Drosophila melanogaster: one gene and its partner. The gene in region 1 interacts genetically with each later gene. Each region holds a gene or a part of one and is shown on either strand. Other genes may lie near its edges.

The links. Genes that interact genetically often act in the same process or in processes that back each other up.
Region 2: of cher (region 1) and vari, changing one enhances a phenotype caused by changing the other (phenotypic enhancement), as found in Drosophila melanogaster (one study listed by BioGRID).

Annotation. Positions count from the first base shown.
Region 1 is NT_033777.3:17,122,334-17,127,055, reverse strand, and holds the start of cher (cheerio), read left to right. Parts: upstream 1-1,666; 5' UTR 1,667-1,817; coding exon 1,818-1,843; intron 1,844-2,269; exon of another isoform or gene 2,270-2,297; coding exon of another isoform or gene 2,298-2,567; exon of another isoform or gene 2,568-2,579; intron 2,580-4,373; exon of another isoform or gene 4,374-4,643; coding exon of another isoform or gene 4,644-4,658; intron 4,659-4,722. Other genes in the region: CG17477 (uncharacterized protein), read left to right, coding at 126-929; CG45079 (uncharacterized protein), read right to left, coding at 2,298-2,567. UniProt on the Drosophila melanogaster protein: Involved in the germline ring canal formation. May tether actin microfilament within the ovarian ring canal to the cell membrane. Contributes to actin microfilaments organization.
Region 2 is NT_033779.5:20,793,993-20,798,574, forward strand, and holds the start of vari (varicose), read right to left. Parts: upstream 3,051-4,582; 5' UTR 2,767-3,050; coding exon 2,661-2,766; intron 2,143-2,660; coding exon 2,045-2,142; intron 1,264-2,044; exon of another isoform or gene 1,016-1,263; intron 947-1,015; exon of another isoform or gene 814-946; intron 155-813; exon of another isoform or gene 68-154; intron 1-67.

The DNA of each region.
Region 1 (4,722 bases):
ATAAAAAATCAGTTTATGGCGCGATTGTTGGAACCTTTGGTCAGGCCATTTTGACTTTCGTATAGTTCAATCAAAATCGCGAAGGGTAAAACCAGACTAGCTCAGTCCGCGATTGCATTTCAGCCATGTCGCTTGCACGTTTCCTATTTTATATTCTCGTGTTCAGTTCACTCTACTGTGACTTATTGGCATTGGAGCACTTCATTGTGGGTGGCCAGAATGCAGCTGAAGGAGATGCCCCCTACCAGGTGTCGCTCCAAACTCTTTTGGGTAGTCACCTATGCGGTGGTGCCATCATATCGGACCGATGGATAATTACGGCTGGTCACTGTGTCAAAGGATACCCGACTAGCAGACTTCAAGTGGCCACTGGTACAATTCGCTATGCGGAACCAGGAGCTGTTTATTACCCAGACGCCATCTACCTGCACTGCAACTATGACAGTCCCAAGTACCAGAATGATATTGGCCTGCTCCACCTGAACGAGAGCATTACCTTTAACGCACTAACTCAGGCGGTTGAACTACCCACATCCCCTTTTCCAAGAGGAGCTTCGGAGCTGGTTTTCACCGGATGGGGATCTCAGTCAGCGGCGGGGTCGTTGCCATCGCAGTTGCAGCGTGTCCAGCAGCAACACCTCAACTCCCCGGCTTGCGAGTCCATGATGTCTGCCTACGAGGATCTGGAACTGGGACCTTGCCATATTTGTGCTTATCGTCAGGCAAATATTGGAGCCTGCCACGGAGATTCTGGAGGTCCTCTAGTTCACCAGGGCACCCTGGTGGGCATACTCAACTTCTTTGTACCCTGCGCCCAGGGTGTGCCTGATATATTCATGAATATAATGTACTACCGCGACTGGATGCGACAAACGATGAGTGGCAATGGCAAATGTGCACAGGTCAACCAGCAGACAATAGATGGATAAAAACATTTGAACTCATTAAAGAACCTCAATTCATAATGTAATTCCTTAATGCTGTAAATAATTTATTAATTTATTAAGCCATTTAAACATAAGATAATTCCCAAACTGCCAGCCTTGTATCAAATATCACCAAACATGCACCAAAACCGCATAAAACCCGCACCAAAGCCGCACACAAATCGCCACCAAGCCGCCAAGAAGCCGCTAACAAATCGCGTGCAAGTCGAACTGAAAACGAAGGGCAGGATGTATCCTCTACGGGTCACTCGTAAGGGATCATTCTGTACGGGGCATCCTCTATTTTTTTAATTACTTGGGTTGCTGTAGTTCACTTGTTTTTTGGCGGGAGTGGTGAATTATTTTAATGTTTCTGGAGGCAAGTGATATTCTTGGCCCACAGCCAGGAGTCCGTTCAGTCGGACAGCCGGAATGTCTTAGTGATTCAGCCACCCGCCGTTTTCTGATTTATTTCGGAAGAAGAGAAGTGTCGCACTGGTCACACGTGTCGTCCTGATCTAATTGGTAGCAGGTAGACCCAGACAGACGTGGTCTTAGTCATGATTTGAGTTGTGAGAAAAATTTCGACACAAATCGCTCACGGCGCATGGAAATTCTGAAAATATTTCTATCGGCACTCGCTGTTCAGATGGGGGAAAAACAACCGGGAAAACTCTCAGTTGTGGGCTGTATCTTGGCATTTTGAAAAAGATTTTCAGTTGCTGTATTGACTTGGACGTGTGCGGTGCGGGCCTCGAATTTTCTTGGAATACGCGGCGTATACGCAATCCGTGAGCTATATGTAGACGCGTGTCTTGCTCATATTTTTATATATACAGCAATATATAACAAGTGAAATTTCGCAACTTGTGCAAAGTCGAGGAAAAAATTATGTTAAATCCAGTGAAAATGCCAAAGTATGTGAAATAATTTTCCCAATTAAGGCAAAACGACTTTGCAATGTATTTTACATTCTTACCAAGAGCGATGAATATTGCGCTAAAAGTATACGGCCAAAAAAAAACCGTTCGAATAAATATATTACCAAAAATAAAATAGAATATTTTGTGTTATGTGAATTTCAGTTTGAAATATTGCGTACAAGGCGTTGCCATTTCGTGATATATTCAGACGATGAAAGGCCTCTTTGCTGGATCCCAAAGAAAGAGCCATTAAATGTTCAGTTGTGAGAGCGTAAAGTGCATTTATCTGTCGGGCACCAGATGTTAATAGAGCCTCTGATCTTTATTTAGCCTCAATCGCATGCTCTGCCGCACCTGGGGTATCTGCGGGGTATAGTACCTAAGGGGACCCGGCATATGTATTTCCCAAATGATTTATTTAACTAGGCGTACACGTTTAAGTGATTTTTTAATAGAAGACATAAACCTTTTGTGCACCCTTTAGCAGATTTGTGCAGGGTCCTTGGGTTTTTCCATCACATGGAGACCTGGAAGTTGACGAAGCAACAGGTGCAGATGTTGTAGTATCCTCCCAGTAGGGATACGATGTGGTAGAATCTCCGTACGGAACCCAAGATGATGAGTATGGGTCCCAATAATATCCGGATGACGTAGTTGAGTCAGAGCAATAGCAGCCTGCCAAGACGCAAAACAACGCAAAGATCGTTAAGAACCTCATTTTAGCCGGCATTAATACAAACTAATAAACGATAGATACAATTTTATCAATTATATACTTCTTATCTTATTTATTTTCAATTGTTTAAAGAAATAATACCTTAAAACAGTTGGGCAAATGCCAAATATTCAATAAAAAGCCTAATATTTAACTAATATTTATTTTTCATATTCTATTGCCAAATTAATCACCAGCTGTTGTATCTAAAAATTTTGAAATTTTCAGAAGACTTTGTATGATTCATTTGAAAGCCCACTGTGCCATTGTTTATTATATTCCAATTATTTTCTAAATATCCAAGTAACAGTGCCGAATCGGGAAAAGCTAAATAAAGCGTTGGCACGTGAAATTACTTGACGGCAACGGGGCGTATGCGCAACAAGAGATTTTAACAGCCCAAGCAGCTGTTGAATTAATTCAAACGCCATGAATAATGATGGTCAATAAAAATAAAATTTGTTTAAAAGTACACGCGCTGCGCGTTCACACGGAAATTAAATAGGTTTTGAGAAATGTTAGTACAGAGTTGTTATGAATGGTGTTTCATATCTAAGCATAATTAGATCTTAAAATTCTTACTGGTTTTTTGAAGTTCATAAAAATGGTGACTATAGTTTAGTTTTCTTAATTTTATTTTACGGATTGATTTTGGTAGATCACTTAAGACTTCCTAAAACCCCTTTTAAGCGCCATGATAGCACTGAAATCAGATAATCAGAATAAAATTGTTTGATATATTTAGCGTGCTCTTGCTGCGTTTTATCTTCAAACGAGCATAAACATTCAAGCCAAATAAAATCGAGGAATTTATGACAGCTGATTTGGCCGGAGCTAGTTAGTCATCTCACAAGAATAAACAACATACAACTGTACATATGCTTTTCATTTAAGAGTTCTACGGGTTCTACGATCCCCCGATTTGGGATTCTTTATCAGCGCCTCGTGAGTCAAATGACGGGGAAATGCGGAATGTACTTGGGGCGACCGCCAGAGATGGCCAAAAGCCAATCATTTTTGCAGGAGGCACTTTCAATTGTGACCAGCAGCAGAGAAGATTGAAGCAAAAACATAAAACACAAAAGACGGCAACCAGTTCTATGAAAAGAATAACAACAAAATCAGCTGCGCGTCGAAAATCACATTTGTGATGAGTTGCAGGGGGTGGGGGGGGATTGCGGGGCAAGCGGTGGGTGGGGACTGGGGGGTCTCATGTGGTAGCGTCGCCAAAAACCTGCCAAACAGAGTCAAGAGTGCAGTCGACGTCGACTGCGACTGCGACTGCGACGCCGAGTCAACGTCACACGCAATACCAAAAACACAACACAAAACATGAAGCGAGATAAATATTGAACAAATTATGTATTGAAGACCTTTGACAGACGAGGATGCACTTTTAGAAACTTGTGAGAAATGTATTCATTTATTTAATATGATCTGAAAAAAATAAAAATACAAACCACAATTTTATATTTTATACTATAACTATGATATACATAATAATATTGTATTCTAATTTCATTTCCAACTTGAAATAATAATAGAAAAAATCGAAGGCAAACCTTTGTTATCTGTCAACCAGTAGGAGTGTGTAGAAAGTATCTTTTGGAATTATAACCTATAAGCGTTACCTAATATTTGCTTAGGGAGTTACTTAAGATGATCCCCGTCTGTATGATTTATCTGAGAAAATAATAATAAAGAAATTGAGCAATAAGCGGCGAGCATTTGGCTGCATAAAAACTTTGAGCAAGGAGGCGCACACAACTCAGTCGAGTTGAGAAATTGTCGCGGCCAGTACGAGTACGTGTAGCAAAGAACCCGAAAGCAACGCGCGCATTTCGTGCACACATTTTCAAAACCAAAAGAAAGAAATTCTGAAATTTGTTTACGAAAAAAAACGAAGGATTTGCCAGTCGTGTTTGTGTTGTGTTTTTTTAGAGAGAAACGTGCTCGCCACGCCAGGAATTGTGTAATTAGCGGGCCATCAAGTGTTCAGTATTAAGCACCCCCACTAAAGTATTACAACTCGAGATCATTCGACAGCGATCCCTATCAACCAACAGAAAAACCATCGATATGGCGTCCAGAAAAGTGAGTTTTTTTTTTTGTTGTTTTGTGGGCCTAGGGTGGCCCTTATCCGATCGGCAAACGTTGC
Region 2 (4,582 bases), on another chromosome or scaffold:
CGTTTAAGCCACGCTCACAAACACCACCGTGAAAACACCTATACTACAGTCAGGCACCAATGCTCACTCATTCGAATGGGCCGAAACCAACGAAGCGCGCGTTTCAAACCGGAATGTGAACCTCACCTTAGCACTGTTCGCAACTAACTGACTCACGAGCTATGGAAGCAAGCGGCGAGAGCTAGTGAGCAAGTTAGGGCTAGCTTTGTTTGCTGCTCAGTTCGCTTGCCGCTGGCTTGCCGTGAAAAAAGCTCCGCGTGAGCCAAGTTACAACTGTACGCAGTCTGTTATCCACATGTTAGCTTGTACTTAACAGTGACTTAAAACCAGCAGTGACGCGCCCTCTCTTTCTGTTAATGAAAACCATTTGAAACTGTAGAAAACTTTTTAAAATACAAATATGTACATACTTGGGGTATATCTAAAATATAACAATAACCAACATTAAAATGTTCTGTTAAATGTTATACTGAAATTAAATAATCTGATCTTAGCTTTCCAAATATTATAATTCAAATGTTGCTGAAACATATTTATTTAACTAGCTTTATACTTTGTTCAGTAAAACAGAACCTTAAATAAGTAAGTTTGGCTATAACATGCTTTGCAATGTTTTTACCAACTACTTCAGTGATCTTAACAGCATCTTATAGCAAGCTTTTTCGATCTCCCGACCACAGCTGCATTAGTAGGCCAACGAGCTGGGCGCTTTTTGTGCATCGTTTTCGAGCGCAGGTAGCATAAAAAGCGTAGTGTTTACGTTGGAAAATGTTTCCAAACCGGTTTCCTTATTCACACTCAAATACACACAACTTCTTTGGGGCGTTGATGTCAAAGAGTTGGCACGGCGACTTGCGTCGAGTTTTATGTAATCTGCATAAAATGGGGGAGTGTTCCAAGGAGCGGTGACGACAGGCGAGTTGGGGAAAGGAAAACAGGGGAGCTGGTAGTGACATTTCATATTTTCTTATCTCGTGACTCGTGGCTTAATTACTTTCACTGCCTTTCTCAACAGCCGCCGACCACAGCAGAAAACCACAAACGAATGAGCCTGCCCAGGAAAATGCCTCGGAAAATGTTGGATTCTAATTATGGTCGTCGTCACACGATGTCGCTTTCCATAATATTTGTTGTATTTGGCTTTTCCGTACTGCTAGTTTGGGTCTTAATAATCATTGTTTTACGCCTATTTTTTACATACTATTTAATTCCCCACTTCTTTATTATTCGCCAACAGAATAACTTTACATCTTAGAAAGGGCATCTTCAATTTTGAAAATTAATTTTTAAAAATTAATTAAAATATTTTGTTATTTTTCTTGTATACAGAGCACAACAAATTCGTTTTAATTTTGGTTGTAACTGCCTCTCATTGTTTTTCTAGTTGACCTGCGTGTTTGCCGCAGGAACAGCAAATAATATTTACAATTTGATTAGGCTACAAACTTTTTGGCAGTTCTTTTACCGTAAGAAACCTTCGAGGAGGCGCTAAATGTGTCGGGTCAAGATAATTTCCACTTCAATGGTTATGTCACGATGATCTAATAAAATGCCTCCCATCTGCATAAAGGCAACTCATCTGCCGAGGCAATAGAGGTCAAGTTTAGTGCGAAAACTCAAAAGAGGAAGGCAAAAATAAAATAGCAAGTGCTAATGGGCCATTACGAAGTCAAAAAAAAAAAAAAAAACAATTGCAGTGCATGGCTAAAGCGAGAAAATCTTTTAAAATACAGAAGGATTTTCTTTTCTTTTTGGCGCTTGTGGAGGCAAGGAAAATGATGTAATAAGAAAAGCAAACACACGCACATACAAGCAGCCCGGAAAATTCTATCTAGACCGAAAAATCAGCATGCAATGCCATCGATGAAGTAAACACAAATGTGGAAAGTGTGTGCGTGTGTGTGGCTGGGTATGGAAAATGGGTGGAAAACCGTATGCGCAATTTTCTTATTGAGCAGATGCTCGAAGGCGTTTAAGTGGGTCAGAAATTGTACAGAGATATTTTCTCTCGCCTTTTTACGTTTATATGTTCTGGTCTACTTGCCATCAGTTCCTTGTGGGGCGTGTTGGAGTTACTACGCAGCAATCCCTTGAGGAAGATCTCATCGTGGTCGGATAGGTCAGTCGAGTTGCGAAAGGCGGCTAAAACGGAGCGAAAGTGTTTTAGATTAATCGCAGTCGTTAAATGACAATCGGAAACAGATGAAATGACATTCGTTTTGGCAGCTTAATGCTACCCTTTTCAATTCATACAATTCATACAATGATGGAATTCTAGAGGGAAATATTTAGATATACATGCATCTGATTTTTCGTTTTATAATCATATTCTTTGTTATCGATTTATTGTAAATACATTTAAAGACCGCATATCTTCAAACAGGTTTCAGATTATTCTTAGCTATGAGTACAAATCATTATATTTACTTCAAGCAGGCTTACTGAAATGCAACATAACTCTTGTCTCGTTTCACTTTTTGAATATGAATTGAAATATTTAGTTTGTAAATCTTTTAACTATTTAAACAACTGAAATCTTCAAAATTAAAACTTTATTAACAGAGCCTTAAAGGAAAAAGAAACAACAATAAAATGATAGTTTGGAATTTCGTATGAACTTCGCTTAAAATTCTCCTTTTGAGGACACCCCTGGCACGTACCGTTATCGGAGGTATCGTCCTCGCCATTCACTTTGTTGTTTCTGGCCAATAGCTCCACTTTATCCTGGCGAGCTTGGCGCCGCGACCGCGCGCTCCACCGAACCATTTTGAAGGAACTGGGAGGTGGCCAAAATAACAGACCGAATGAAGTAACCCCGGAGGACAGTCTCGTATTTCGGCCAAAAAAGGGTTATAACCCTTGTGTTTTTTTTCTTAGCCAGCCATATGCTTAGCTACTTGAACAGAACATGTCTTCCAGTGATAATCACTTGTTGTTATTGTTATAAACACAACGCCACGCAAACAACAAAAACAATAGCGCGGCTAAGAATTTCACTCCTCCAACAGCGCAAAAACAACCGACTTGTTTGTGAGAAAGAGGCTAACTAAACTGAAAACCGCTTTTGTTGCAGGTGATGCCAAAATCAAAGCTCCTTAAAACGAGAAAGCTTTTGCAGACAAAAAGTCAAATAACGTGTGCCTATCGGTTTTTAAATATTGTGCTTATCGGCGCCACTTCTTTGTTGGGTCGGTACGGTAAATGTACTTTATGTACGGAGTTCGAAAGCCTGTCATAAAAATGCATTCCACTGTTCTCAGGCCATTTAAATTTAATATTGTTTATTATCTTTAATTTTGCTTGTGATTGCTTTTTCTATAGCTATAACATAGCTAAAAATGGATGGCTTGGGAATCGCTGATGGTTTGTGCCATTGATAAACCGTGCGTTAATATTATAAAAAATTTACTTCGATTTGTACATAAATATGTACTCTAAACTGGACGACCAATAAATGTTCGTTCATATGCCAATTAGAAATCAATTTAATTAAATAGTCTTTAAATTGCTTATGGAACTTTATTTATGCCTTAACAAAACTCTGGGATGCAACAAACTTCGTTACTTCAATAAATATGCAATATTTTATTTCTATTAATCGAAAGGGTAATAGACGTCGACTTGCCATAGATGAAAAAACATCGTTTCTCGCTTGCGGTATTTTTCGAAGTTTCAGCATGCTTCGGTATTTTTCGGCTGAAACGATGCGACAGCTCTTGTTTTCATTCCGTTTTGAGCAGCGTGCGCGTACGGTGCTTTCCTCGCATGAAGAGTAAAAACAAATTAAATACCACTGTGGAATAACATCTCAGCGAACGAGTATACGTCGGAAACCGATTTGTCGCGCTAAGTAACACGAGATGCTTTTGGGATTCAAAAAAACCCATATTTATGTGATGATATATTAATGTAAACCCACTGTTTCGTTTACATTTTCGTTTTTGAATGACTGGCTGCGGAAATAACTATAGATTCGCGAAAGTACACTAAATCAGGCAGTAAAATCGGATTGGCAATCTTGGGAAAAAATCGAAGGAAAAGAGACGCCAGCAGCTTCCTCGGATTGTTTTGTTGTTTTCAGTTCGTTAGTGTGTGGCCGTTTTTCCGCCTGTGTTTGTGCAACAAAGTCAAAGTCGTCGAAGCTGCTGCAAAAATACGTGAAATGCAAATTGTGAAAAAGTTGCAAAAGCAACAACAGCAACTAGCAACAACCAACAACAACGCAACGACAACTATAACCGCAATCACACGGCCAACGCAACAATAACAACGGCCACAACAAAACGGCTTCGCGTGTTTTGAAAAATTGCATTGCAAATTAGTAATTAGCAACAACTAAAACAATAGCAATAAAAAAAAGGAAAATTGCGCGCCAAAATCGAAAGAAACAAAAGGATTACACATAAACAAACCGAAGAAGCAGAAGCAGCTGAGCGAAAGAGAGAGATAGCGAAAAATCAAAACAGAACAGGCAGAAATTCCTGTTTATCCACCTTCACCTCCGGCGACACCCCCCGTCGTGGTGAGTTACTTGTCTTTCGGTATTTGTGCCTTGTATCTTTCTTTTTGGTTCTTGTTTTAT